3 linked regions of the Arabidopsis thaliana genome follow. The protein of the gene in region 2 interacts with the protein of the main gene of each other region in a pairwise test. Each region holds a gene or a part of one and is shown on either strand. Other genes may lie near its edges. The genes, in order: DGD2, NAC089 and KEA1.

Region 1 (3,753 bases), on a different chromosome or scaffold from region 2:
AGTGAAGGGCTGCTCCTGGAGCTTCTGCTGTTCTAGTTTTCTCAACCCAATTTCGAGAAATTTAGGGTTGACGCCATGAACATTGCAGACTATAGATTTAGGGTATTCTTGAGTCGCAGCAGATAACCTGATTACCTGCAGGAGTAACATCATTGGTACAAGTCCTGATTCACATCAAAAGGACCGGCCATAATTGTGGTCACATTCCAACAAACTGTCTTGATTCTCAAATTAAACCCAGCCATTGGATATATTCACATAATTGAGCAATCACTCTATCATGTCCTAGTGGCTGTAAAGAAGAAAGAAGTTTACCTTGTGGCAGTAAATGCCAACAACCCAACTATTTAAGTATTTGAGGAAAAATGCTTTGACACGGCCTTGTTTCTCTCTTTTAACGTATTCCAAGTAGTTAGTGTGTACGATTCCTATGACGTAGTTGAACTTAGTTTTCCATTTTTGGCCATGATGAAACCATGTGAGATGCTCAGGCTCCTCGAGGACAGCAATGTCTGCCTCTTCATCAGGAATGGCATCAGATATATCCCCAACAGGAAGAATACTCCTTTTGTCAATAGCAAACTGCCATAAGATAAATTTGAATTGCTAAGGTTGGCACAACACAGTCACAGAGTACTACGTAAAAGAAATGGAAGAATTCAACTCTATATCACACGGAAATGAAACAATCGACTCTATGAAAGGAAGCAGTATGTGTTTGGTACCCAAAAGAAGATTCTTGAGAGTCATACCTTTCCAGGATAGAAACGTATCTCAAAGGCTAAACGAAAAGAGACTCTCTCCTCAAGCCACTGGCGGACATAAGCTTCTTGCTCTGACGGGGAACTAAAAGTGATGCTATTTGGGTAGACAAGCTTTTGGTGCTTCAAAGTCAGCCATGGAATCACCAACGTGACCCGTCTTTCCCCATCATTTGCAAGGTAGGCAGCACGGAAGAGAGGATTAACAGCAGTTCCCGTAAGCCATGGAATACTAGCTGTTGTAAATATCGCAATGTGTTGCTCCTGCTGATTAGTCATATCATCTCAAGCTAAACCTCTACAAATTATCAAACAAAAAGAGTAAACCAATAGATTCTTGTAATTGAGTTTGATCTGATTATTGCATCTTCCCAATAAGGATAACATTCGACTACAAATTCTTAATTTTTCTGCAAATTCAAACAATCTTTTCACACGATTCAAGCGATTTTCGATTACATCAAAAAAAAAAAAAAAAAAAAAAAATGAAGCCATACCTGTAAGATTCCAATTCAGAAACAATCTTTGAGTTGACAGAATTTATAAAAGCTGATGATTCGCGTCGAGTTGGGGCAAATAAGCAAACGTAGAAGGAAGAGAGACGAAACAATATTCTAGGGTATGCGTGAGAAGGAGAGAATATTCTCGGAAGATCTTCTTCGTTTCATTGTTTATACAAAATTAACAGACTGGTTGGTCTTCGCAGGATCCTCCAATCTCCAACATTCTTTTTCCGCCAAGTCTAGAACGAAGAAGAATCTAAAAACGACTTTGCGTGTCTAGACTACGTGTCGTTTCTTTTACATTTAAACATCATCAAGTTTCACTTTCAAAGTTAAGAACGCCGGGCTTTGACCAGTGTTATAGGGTAGGCCCAATTATTGACAAGCCCATTGCTTACTCAAACTGTGTGCCGTTTCAATCCCACAATTATTGATTGAAAACCAAACCTTAATTCCGAAACCATATCAACCGTTTTACATTGGTTTTCTCAAACCGAGATTTTTCTCCATAGAAAGAAGCAGAGTGGTAAAGAAGAGCACATAAGGGAATACTATCATGGGAGCATATGAGAATGAGATTCAGAGTCAAGCGTTAACCTAACACCTTCCTTGAAAGAAGTTGGAGAGAGCTCAAGTGTATGAATCAGTTTAGTTATGTCCATAGATATATCTGCTGGTGACACTACGCCACGATCAATCTGACAAAATAGCTGAGACTCATTAAGTGACTGATCTGCAATATTCAACAAGTGAGATTCATTTGTGAAAGCCTCATACATACCGATGATGCAGACACATGTTTAATCAAGGACAGGTCGTATCCTCTGACTTCTGCAACCATTTGAGCCATTTGAACACGAGATAGCCTCTCGGGTCCACCAGCATTCAGAACTAGCCGCATCTGTTTATCATCTGAAAGCAGCAACAACATGTTGTTATGATTCTACATTTTATGTACAATGATGCAGAGCGAGAGAATGAAACTCAGTAAAAAAGAATCTACCAGAGACCCATCTGTCTATTAATTTGAAAGTGATATTCACAAGATCCTTAACGTAAATGGGGCAACGAAACTCGTCATGGAAGAAGTCTACCGTGTCCCCTTTCTTTAAGGAGCTATCAATCCACTAAAACATAAAAGACGACCAGTTTCATGGCTAACTCAATGAACTCAAGTGTGTATATATATCTCTGAGAAATTGTGTTAAGAAGCACCTGAATTGGGAGAGTCTTGGGGAGAGGTGATACAGTTTGAGGACCAAAGATGATACTACTTCTCAATATTGCAAAGCTTTGACACTTATCCTTGATGAGAAGCTCTGCTGCAACTTTTGATTTCCCATAAACGTTGACTGCAACAGTCTCATCTTCTTCCTTGTAGAAAGACTTGACACCTTGATAAACTGAAATTGAGACATGAAAACCAAGTGCAAAAGCATAAGTCATGACTCATGATGAGATTAACACTATAACAGTGGCTAATGCAATTGGCAACTAACCTTGATCAGTAGAGAGATGAATCAACAAGGTTTTGTTAGTCTCAAAACTTGATAACCAGTTTACAAGAGAAGTAGGTACGTTGATGGACATGGCGGAATCTGGATCTTGCTCGCAAGCTCGTGGGACAGACAGAGCAGCACAATTCACGACCACATCAGGCTATAATCAATGGAACAAAGTGTTGCTTTTCAGACCAGAGAGTCTAATACACAGATTCACATGTTCATTTACCAAGCAATTCCTAGAGGAAAGAACATTAATCGAGCTAGAGATTACGAAATCGGAACCTGACGAAAGTCCTGGGATATGGAATTGAGCCCTAGACCGGATTTAAGATCGACAGGAAACGCGGGGGAATGAGGGAAAGCGTCGAGCAAACGAGCGGGAAGTGGAGAAGAATGGTGAGTGAAAGCGACGTCGTATAGCTCACATTCACCGCCATAGTTGCCGGCGAAAGCTTGAAGAAGATGCTGACCCAAGTATCCAGTACCTCCCACAATTAGCACTTTCGTCTTCTTCTCCATACTTTTCCCAAATTCCCCGATCCAATCACTCTCCGGTGTTTGCTTAATTTAAATTTTAACTTAAACATAGCACGATCACTGTTGGAATTTCCGGTTTGGTATTCTGGTTCGAGTTGATATTCTCCGGTTTGGAATGATTTTCGGTTAACATGCTTCTGCAACTGCATTAACAACTCTTCAAAGTTGGTTGAATCTCGAAACCATTTAAACCTTTTGGTATCAGAACAAAAATGGTAAAGCAGGAAAATGTAGAAGAAAGATATCATTATTGGCTTATTATTGCCAAAACAGTATATAAAGTTGTAATCATTATCATCAGAAATAATCGTAAGAAGTTGGAAAAATGTCCAAAAAAAAAAAGGAAAAGTACAGGTTGACCTAGAACTAACCCTGTTCTTGTTCTTAAGCCCTCTTTTTGGCATTGTTTTTCTTAAAACATATCACATTTTGAAGAAAAAAAGAATG
Region 2 (3,753 bases):
CCTATAATAACATCCCATCGTGCCTTGTTCACTGATTTGATCGAGTATAAACCCACGAAGCAGCTCGACAATGATTCCGTGGCGTCTTTTCCTTTCTTCTTCTGTGATGGTCTTTCCTCTAACAGTGATGACATTTGTTTGTCTATCATGTTTGGTAAAGGAAGTACCCTTATCTCCATTGATGCTGATTCTAGTGTTGGCACTTCGTTTGGTGTGTTCCCTGTCATCACCGCTTCATCGAGATTGATGATTTCGTCTCTTAGGATATCCGCAAAGAAATCCTCGTCATTATCCACCTAAACCACACACACATAACATTCATTAAGAAGAACGACAACAATCAAGAACCATCATACAACAATTAGAAGCCAGGTGACAAAACCTGTAGATTTTCTGATGACTCTGCCATCTCAGCGAGTAGTTTCTCCCCTGATTCACCTGCTAGGTAAAAATCAACCAAGTTGTCCCAATCAGACGGGCTCCCTGAACTCGTAGCGCCATTTTGGACTTTCGCATGCTTCTCGGCTGATGAATTTGGCTTTGGTGCCTTCTGACTTGTACCACTATTGTATTCTTTGTTCCTCCTAACCCGGCAAACAACCATAGCATCATCCTAGAATTTACATAAACATAATCAATCAACTCAAGCCAAAGACAAAACTCCTAAAATTTTACTGTATTCCTCTTAGAGACTCAAAAAGTAGCCAAAGTCACCACCTCTTATGTAATGGTTAACAATTAATCTATAAGAAAAAACAAACTCTCGAGAACAGTTTTACCAGAGATACTCCTTTCACGCAGTACTCGTGCATAATCCAGTCAGTTCTTTCGCCTTTTGGTGCACGACCAATATGGAAAACAAGCGTCCTCTTTGTTCCAATGACCTCAGAACCAGACTTCACATCACGCTCTTTCCCAGTTGCTTTCCAGTATCCCATCTTCGTTGCTCTCCTGTTCTGTGAACCATGTGGATACTTTTTCCCACGCGCACAGAAGAAGAACCACTCGCTATCAGATTTCACAATCGACTTATCTGCAAAGAACAAACACACAAAAAAAATTGTCAATTCCAATCCAAGAGCCAAAAAATAGAAACTTTATATCTTAGGCACCCAAAATAGAGATCTCTCCTGAAGCCTGAAGAACAACAAAATCAAATTCCAAGTAGAAGAAAGACACAAAAGAATCAATTGGTTCGAATTCGAAGACAAACCGGGTAAATCCCAAGGCTCGAAATTGTAAATCTCAAGGTCCGGTATAACCTCAACGGACCTCTCCAAGCCATCCATCTTCCGCTTCAGGTAATACGAAATCAACTCCACATCCGTCGGCGAGAATTTAAACCCAGGAAACACCGTCGACGCTTCCATCGACGCCGCCGTATCCTTAGAAACTCCAACCGCCTTCGTGTCCATGAAGGCTCGCGCGTATACAACAGTCGCCACAAAAAGAGCGCGTAAGAAATCGGCCACCGCCCAAAGAGTAAAATCCGGGAATTTTCGATAACCTGAAGGATTTTTCTTCTCAGTGTGGTCTCTTCTCACTTGCTCAGGGAGCTTTTGAATTGTTATTGGAACACTTCACAGGTGCACACATATGGGTTTTTGCATACGTGTTGCCAAGGCATTGCTTAATCTACGTGTGCATGCCACGTCACTAAACCTAGTTATATTATAGGTTTTATTTCATTTAGACCCTTAATGTTTTTACGTACTCCCAATTTACGACTTATTGTTTAGTGTTTTCAGATAAAGTCCCAATATATATCCGAAATCTTACTATCGATCAATCGCTCACAATTATATATCCCAAAATATCTTGTTCAGGATCTCGTAATCAACAAGCGTTACCTCAAAGTTTTTGTTGATTTGAAGCTTAAGGGTTAACCACTTATCATTACAAGAAAACTTATCCTTCTTGATGGATTTCAACTGCTCCACAAGACTTTCCATATAGTTAAGTTTAATCAAAAACTCATGTTCAAAAAAGCTAAACAAGAAAGGTGAATTTTCGCAAATCTCCCTCCGTAAAACCTCGTACGTCTTCGAAATAGTATTAGTAGTAAAATCTGTGGACTATGTTTCTGTGTCAAGGTACGACAGGGAAAACGAAATGTATGAGTGAACTTTATTGTTGTTTCCATGATGAAATGGGGTTACAAATTACGATCAAATTATACTCAAATCATTATTTGTAAAAAAACTAAAGTGATATTAACGTGGTTAACTCTGTTCTGTTAATTTTTTTGGTGATGTGAATCCAAAAATTACTTTGAAAGTTTCTCGTACAATTAAAAGTTTAAAGTTGATGATGAACGGAAACTATAAACAATCATAACAAGAAATTCTCCAAATTATTTCAGCAACAAATTTATATTTTGTCAAGATCAACAATGATCGATAACGATAATATGATTTAAGAGTTTTTTCATACCAAAACTCTTTAGAATTAAAAATCCTCCTTTCATAGGCCTTTGAACTAAAAAATAGAACTCTTCAACAATATTTTAGTCAAAAGCTAATGATACGTGAAAGAGTTCGATACCTTTTATAACACCATCCAAGGATATAGATCAAGTCTAAAACTAAGAAAAGAGATAAACATCTAATCTTCTAATCCTCATACCTTCGAAAAGTAAACAATAATTAATATTGAATGCTAACAAGTAACAACCAAAATATATAAACAAACGCTTTGTTTGGTTTTTAAGGTTGGTTTGTTATCGAGGGGGTATTTTATCTTTTGAATTTTGTAAAAAATCTATAAATATAGGTGATGATTTTAGAAAAAAATGAGGATTTTTTTACACATTTTGGCATTTCCCCCTACAGTTAAAAAGAGAGTAAAAATCAAAATATATATCATGTGTTGTACAAGTAAACACCTACCAACCAAGCCCATCAAGAAGATACTACTACTAGAATCACTCATTTCCTCTATATATCTTATTGGTGACAAACTGACCAGTCACCAATAAATGTCTCTAGTCACGGCGGCTCCTCCGGTCAACATCGATCAAATCTTTCCCGTGGTTGACGTATACACTTGCGATTCTTCCTCCATCGTACAATATGCATGCATATAAATACCAATATAGGTGATGGTTATTGTAAATGTTTTTAGAGAAAATGAGGATTTTTTAAACCCATTTTTCCCTTCACTAAAAAAGAATCGACACACAAAAAGAGAGAGTTTATAAAATACACGATAATATCAAAGTTAAACACACACCAACCAAGTAAACAAGATACAACACAATTGGAATCTTTCTTCTTTGACAAAAAAAAAAGGAATCTCTCTCTTTCTCTGATTCTCTCATGTCCATGCAACAAGAAACGTCTCACATGACGGCGGCTCCACAGACCAACGGCCATCAAATCTTCCCTGAGATTGACATGTCCGCCGGCGATTCCTCCTCCATCGTACGAGCTACAGTCGTCCAAGCCTCTACAGTCTTCTACGATACTCCCGCCACGCTAGGTTCGTTCCTGTTTTCTCGATTTTTGATTCACTATGGTTGGTGAGATCGCTTTCGATGCCTTATCCACGAAATTTTGTCAGATAAGGCAGAGAGACTGCTTTCTGAGGCAGCGGAGAATGGATCTCAGCTAGTGGTGTTCCCGGAGGCTTTCATCGGTGGATATCCACGTGGCTCTACCTTTGAATTGGCTATTGGTTCTCGTACCGCTAAAGGACGAGATGACTTTCGCAAGTACCATGCTTCTGCCATTGATGTTCCTGGTAATAAAGTCC
Region 3 (3,753 bases), on a different chromosome or scaffold from region 2:
AAGAACTAGTTTGGGCCATTGCTGTTTGACAGAACCAACCAGACTACCAAACACTGTCGCGGTCCCATCTGGATTAGAAGAGAAGAAAGATGCAGAAAAGAAACGGGAGGATTTATTAAACGATGCCTTGGGAGAATTAAGAGAGGAACCCTCCTTTGGCAGATCTTTTTGAGTTTCCTGTTTTTTTGTCTGAACATTAATCTTTGGCTTTTCAGAATCTGCTTCAACCACTTTAGAAGACTCTACACTTGGCTTTCCATTCTCATGATCGCTTGACTCATAAGGCTGAGTTAGTTTTTTATTCCTCTGACCAACTATATCAGGCACAAGTTCAGCTGTGATCTGTACCACTGGTAGATCTCCATCTTTAGGTGATTCTTTTTCAACCTGATGGGTAACATCTTCAACGTTACCTGAAAGTACCATCGCATCCTCCTGAGAAGTTTCTTCATCCGAGAGTTGGCCCTGAGTTTCCTCTGGGGTCTGAGAAATGGAGAGAGACTTCTCTGCTCTCTGTAAAGCAATCTCTGCATCATTAACGCGTTGAGTAGCCTCAAGCTCAAATGCTACAGCTTGTTCAGCCAATTTCATAATATTGGTAACATCCTCCTCGGCTTTCAACGAACTGATCTGTATTGTCTCAGCGAACTCATTCAACTTGTCCACTTCCTTTTGCAGCTCGTCTTTTTTGCTCAGCAAAGCACTCAGTTGGGACTCACAATTATCTAAATTAACTTGGCATTCTTTAATATCATCCTTGGCAGCTAAAAGAGCTTCTTCTTTATCATTAACATCTATTGTTTCCTCAGTCTCTTCAGACACATGTGGAATATCATTCCCTGCACCAGCTTCAAGTGATTCCACTATAACCTGAAGCCTAGCTTCAGCCAGAGACAGGGCCATAGTAGCCGTTTGAACAGCTTCTTTAGCAAGAGCCTCCTCATAAACAGTATCTCGAATGACATCAAGGGTTTTGTTTACGTCAAGCCAAGCAGTAGCAGCTTCATCCTTGAGTGCTATGGCTCTTTCTGAGATTCTCTGAGCCTTTTCCTCAAACATGGTACTATTGAGCCTAGCAACTTCCAATTCTTTAATTGCCTTGTGTAGTAACTCCTTGAGTTCCTCCAAACTATCAGTGTCGTTTTCCACTCTCGCATCTTTCAAATCTGTAGCTTCAGTTTCATCACTACTTTCGGAAGATTCCCCGATCCGATGATCATTACTATCGGCATTACCCAGAGATTCATGACCCTGACAACGTAACCTAAATCCAAAAGGGATTCTTTTGGCTTGGTGGCCATTGCCAAGTATTGATTTTGTAGAATGCAAATGACCACTATAAAACCTTCCAGAGAAACACGCATTCATCAAATTCAATGTACCACTTTGTGCTACATTTCTCCTCAATCGAAAACACGAATGCACTTTAGAATCCCCAGATGTAATGCTGATTCCTTTAGGACTTATCAATCGATTTGGAAAGCAGTAACTCGCACCATCTCCACCATGGAATAGAATCGGCCTTTGAAAAGTAGACGCATACTCCATATCGGAAATCAAATAAAAAAAGTAGCCTTACTTTATTCCTCGAACCTTATATACAACTCCTGTGAAGCAAAACGAAATTCCACACATTCAGACGACCAAGATAAAAAAAATCAACGACAAGCCACGGACAGATAGAGAGGCTAACCAATCATGGAAAGTTGAGTAAGAATGGAAGAAAGGTGGAAACGGAAAGGAGTGGCTCTCGTCTTCAATTCCGTTCGTTTCAAACAGATAATTTTGGCTCGTCTCTTCAAATTTTCCCAGTCAAACAACTTTCTCTGTCTCCTCCTTTTTGAGTTTCTCGCCAACCAGACATCATTGCTAAGGCCGTTTTTAGATACTTTTACGAAAACACCCTCTCTCACCTAACGAAATAATGAATGATTCACATCACCCGATAACCACTTGGTTTGATCCGGTATATAAGTAGTTTGGTATCTTTGAACCGAACAGATATTACATCGAATATCATCATCACCATCGGAAAGCATATCATAAGCAGCACACATAGAGTGAAAAAACATCAATTCTTGCCTTTTTTTCGTGTGTAATAATAAATGTATAACGAATGAATTAAAAAAATAACAAAAAAAATCATGTCTTCATATGGAAACAACTCATTACAAATGAAATCAAATCTTTCCCCCGCAACAACATTCATTCAATCATTCACTCAAAAACACTCATGTAAGAGATATTCAAGACTCTGAAACGCCATTCTCTTCCTTGGCCTCCACGGCGACGTCTTCGGTAGGTTCCGGTGGAAGAGTGTTGCCTGAGGCTGTGCGACGGTGATTGGCGGCTTGGAGGACGTGAGCGTAGTTTCCTTTCTCCATGAAGAGTTGGTTAAAGTGATGTCGGCAATAGAGAACGCTATCTAAGGAGGCGTAGGAGGAGTGAGTCAGCGTACACCCACCGTGAGCGCACCGGAAACATGTCTTGTGGAAGCATTCTCCTTCCATTTGTATCTGTTACCAAATAACCCGATTAGAACCAAGCCAAAATTGATTCCACATTTGCTTGGACCAACCAACATCACGTTCTCAAATCGAACCAAAAGTATACTAAACCAAACCAAAATCAAAATTTTATTTCCATTTGATCTAGTAATGATTTTATCCGAACAGAAAAATTCTACGGAAATGAAAAAACAAAAAACAAATTCTAGAGCAAATAAATTTCTCTACGAGACTAGTTCGTTGGTATTTTAGGCCATGAGAACATTTGCAGATGCGTATACCACTAACCTTTTCAAGAGGGTAAACAGTTTTTTCGCAAGCGGCACACTTGTCTTGTGTTCCACAGAAGATGGAAGATATCTTGCTGGGAGTCCTAGTCTGTAATGTTTAAATCAGTACACAGATCCTATTAGTCGATCATAAAAGAAAGAAAATGAAATATTGACACGCTAATCATATACAAGGACATGTAATGATGAACCTACCAGCTCTGGCTTCTCAGTTTTTCCTGAGAAAAGAAAGAGACTTGTTATGATCATGATGATTTGAAAGATAGAGAGATTCGATGTCAGAGATTTTATAATACGAACCTGGTTGAAAGTTTTTGCTGAAATTGCCAGATTCCTTGAAGAGTTGCTCAAAATGAGTCTTGCAGTACAAAACTCCGTCCATGGAGGAATAGTTGCTCATCTGCCATCAACACATAGATAAATTGTTGATATAATATGATCATAGAAGATCTAACAAGAAAATGAGTAATGAGTGCACCTGAAGGGTTCCTTTGCAATGGGTACACCTGAAGCAAGACTTGTGGTAAGGCATTCCTTCAATGGACAACATGTCCACCACATAGACTGTCTTATCACAAACATTGCATTTGTCGAGAGTTCCTGTGAAAGACATTTTTTTTGTTTTATCTTTTTTTTTTTTGGTTTTTTTTTGGTTGTTGTTGTTTCCTTCCTTCTCCAAGATCCTGTATGAAACAGATTTTTTAATTTTTTTTCCAACAAATCAAGAGGTCATCTGAGGAATTAGTTAAAGAAGGAAACCTTTACCTCAGACAACGGAGGAACCTGCGAAATTTCTGTCCTCTTTTATATGAAACTTTGTTGCAATTGTGAGGTTGTAACGGAGGAAGGTTTTTTCCTTTTTTTCTTTCTCTCTCTCTCTCTCTCTCTCTTTGATCTTTTTTGCAAAATGAATGAGATAAAATTGGGTGGCAAAGTGATTGGAGTTGAGCAAAAGA

Evidence for each region.
Region 1: the proteins of NAC089 (region 2) and DGD2 interact in a two-hybrid assay, tested with the Arabidopsis thaliana proteins (one large-scale study listed by BioGRID).
Region 3: the proteins of NAC089 (region 2) and KEA1 interact in a protein complementation assay, tested with the Arabidopsis thaliana proteins (one large-scale study listed by BioGRID).

What each region holds. Positions count from the first base shown.
Region 1 is NC_003075.7:238,980-242,732, forward strand, and holds the start of DGD2 (digalactosyl diacylglycerol deficient 2), read right to left. Parts: upstream 1,601-3,753; 5' UTR 1,259-1,600; intron 1,233-1,258; exon of another isoform or gene 1,060-1,232; 5' UTR 1,041-1,059; coding exon 753-1,040; intron 583-752; coding exon 316-582; intron 136-315; coding exon 1-135. Other genes in the region: AT4G00560 (NAD(P)-binding Rossmann-fold superfamily protein), read right to left, coding at 1,819-1,974, 2,046-2,176, 2,268-2,391, 2,480-2,667, 2,764-2,923, 3,052-3,288. UniProt on the Arabidopsis thaliana protein: Involved in the synthesis of diacylglycerol galactolipids that are specifically found in thylakoid membranes. Specific for alpha-glycosidic linkages.
Region 2 is NC_003076.8:7,376,084-7,379,836, forward strand, and holds the start of NAC089 (NAC domain containing protein 89), read right to left. Parts: upstream 1,694-3,753; 5' UTR 1,416-1,693; coding exon 1,214-1,415; exon of another isoform or gene 1,034-1,213; coding exon 780-1,033; intron 614-779; coding exon 383-613; intron 297-382; coding exon 1-296. Other genes in the region: NIT4 (nitrilase 4), read left to right, coding at 3,318-3,480, 3,562-3,741. UniProt on the Arabidopsis thaliana protein: Transcription factor involved in plant cell division.
Region 3 is NC_003070.9:282,576-286,328, reverse strand, and holds the start of KEA1 (K+ efflux antiporter 1), read right to left. Parts: upstream 1,980-3,753; 5' UTR 1,694-1,979; exon of another isoform or gene 1,608-1,693; 5' UTR 1,549-1,607; coding exon 1-1,548. Other genes in the region: PLIM2b (GATA type zinc finger transcription factor family protein), read right to left, coding at 2,247-2,516, 2,796-2,885, 2,993-3,015, 3,098-3,197, 3,276-3,410. UniProt on the Arabidopsis thaliana protein: Electroneutral K(+)/H(+) efflux antiporter involved in chloroplastic K(+) homeostasis and osmotic adjustment, especially during plastid division and thylakoid membrane formation.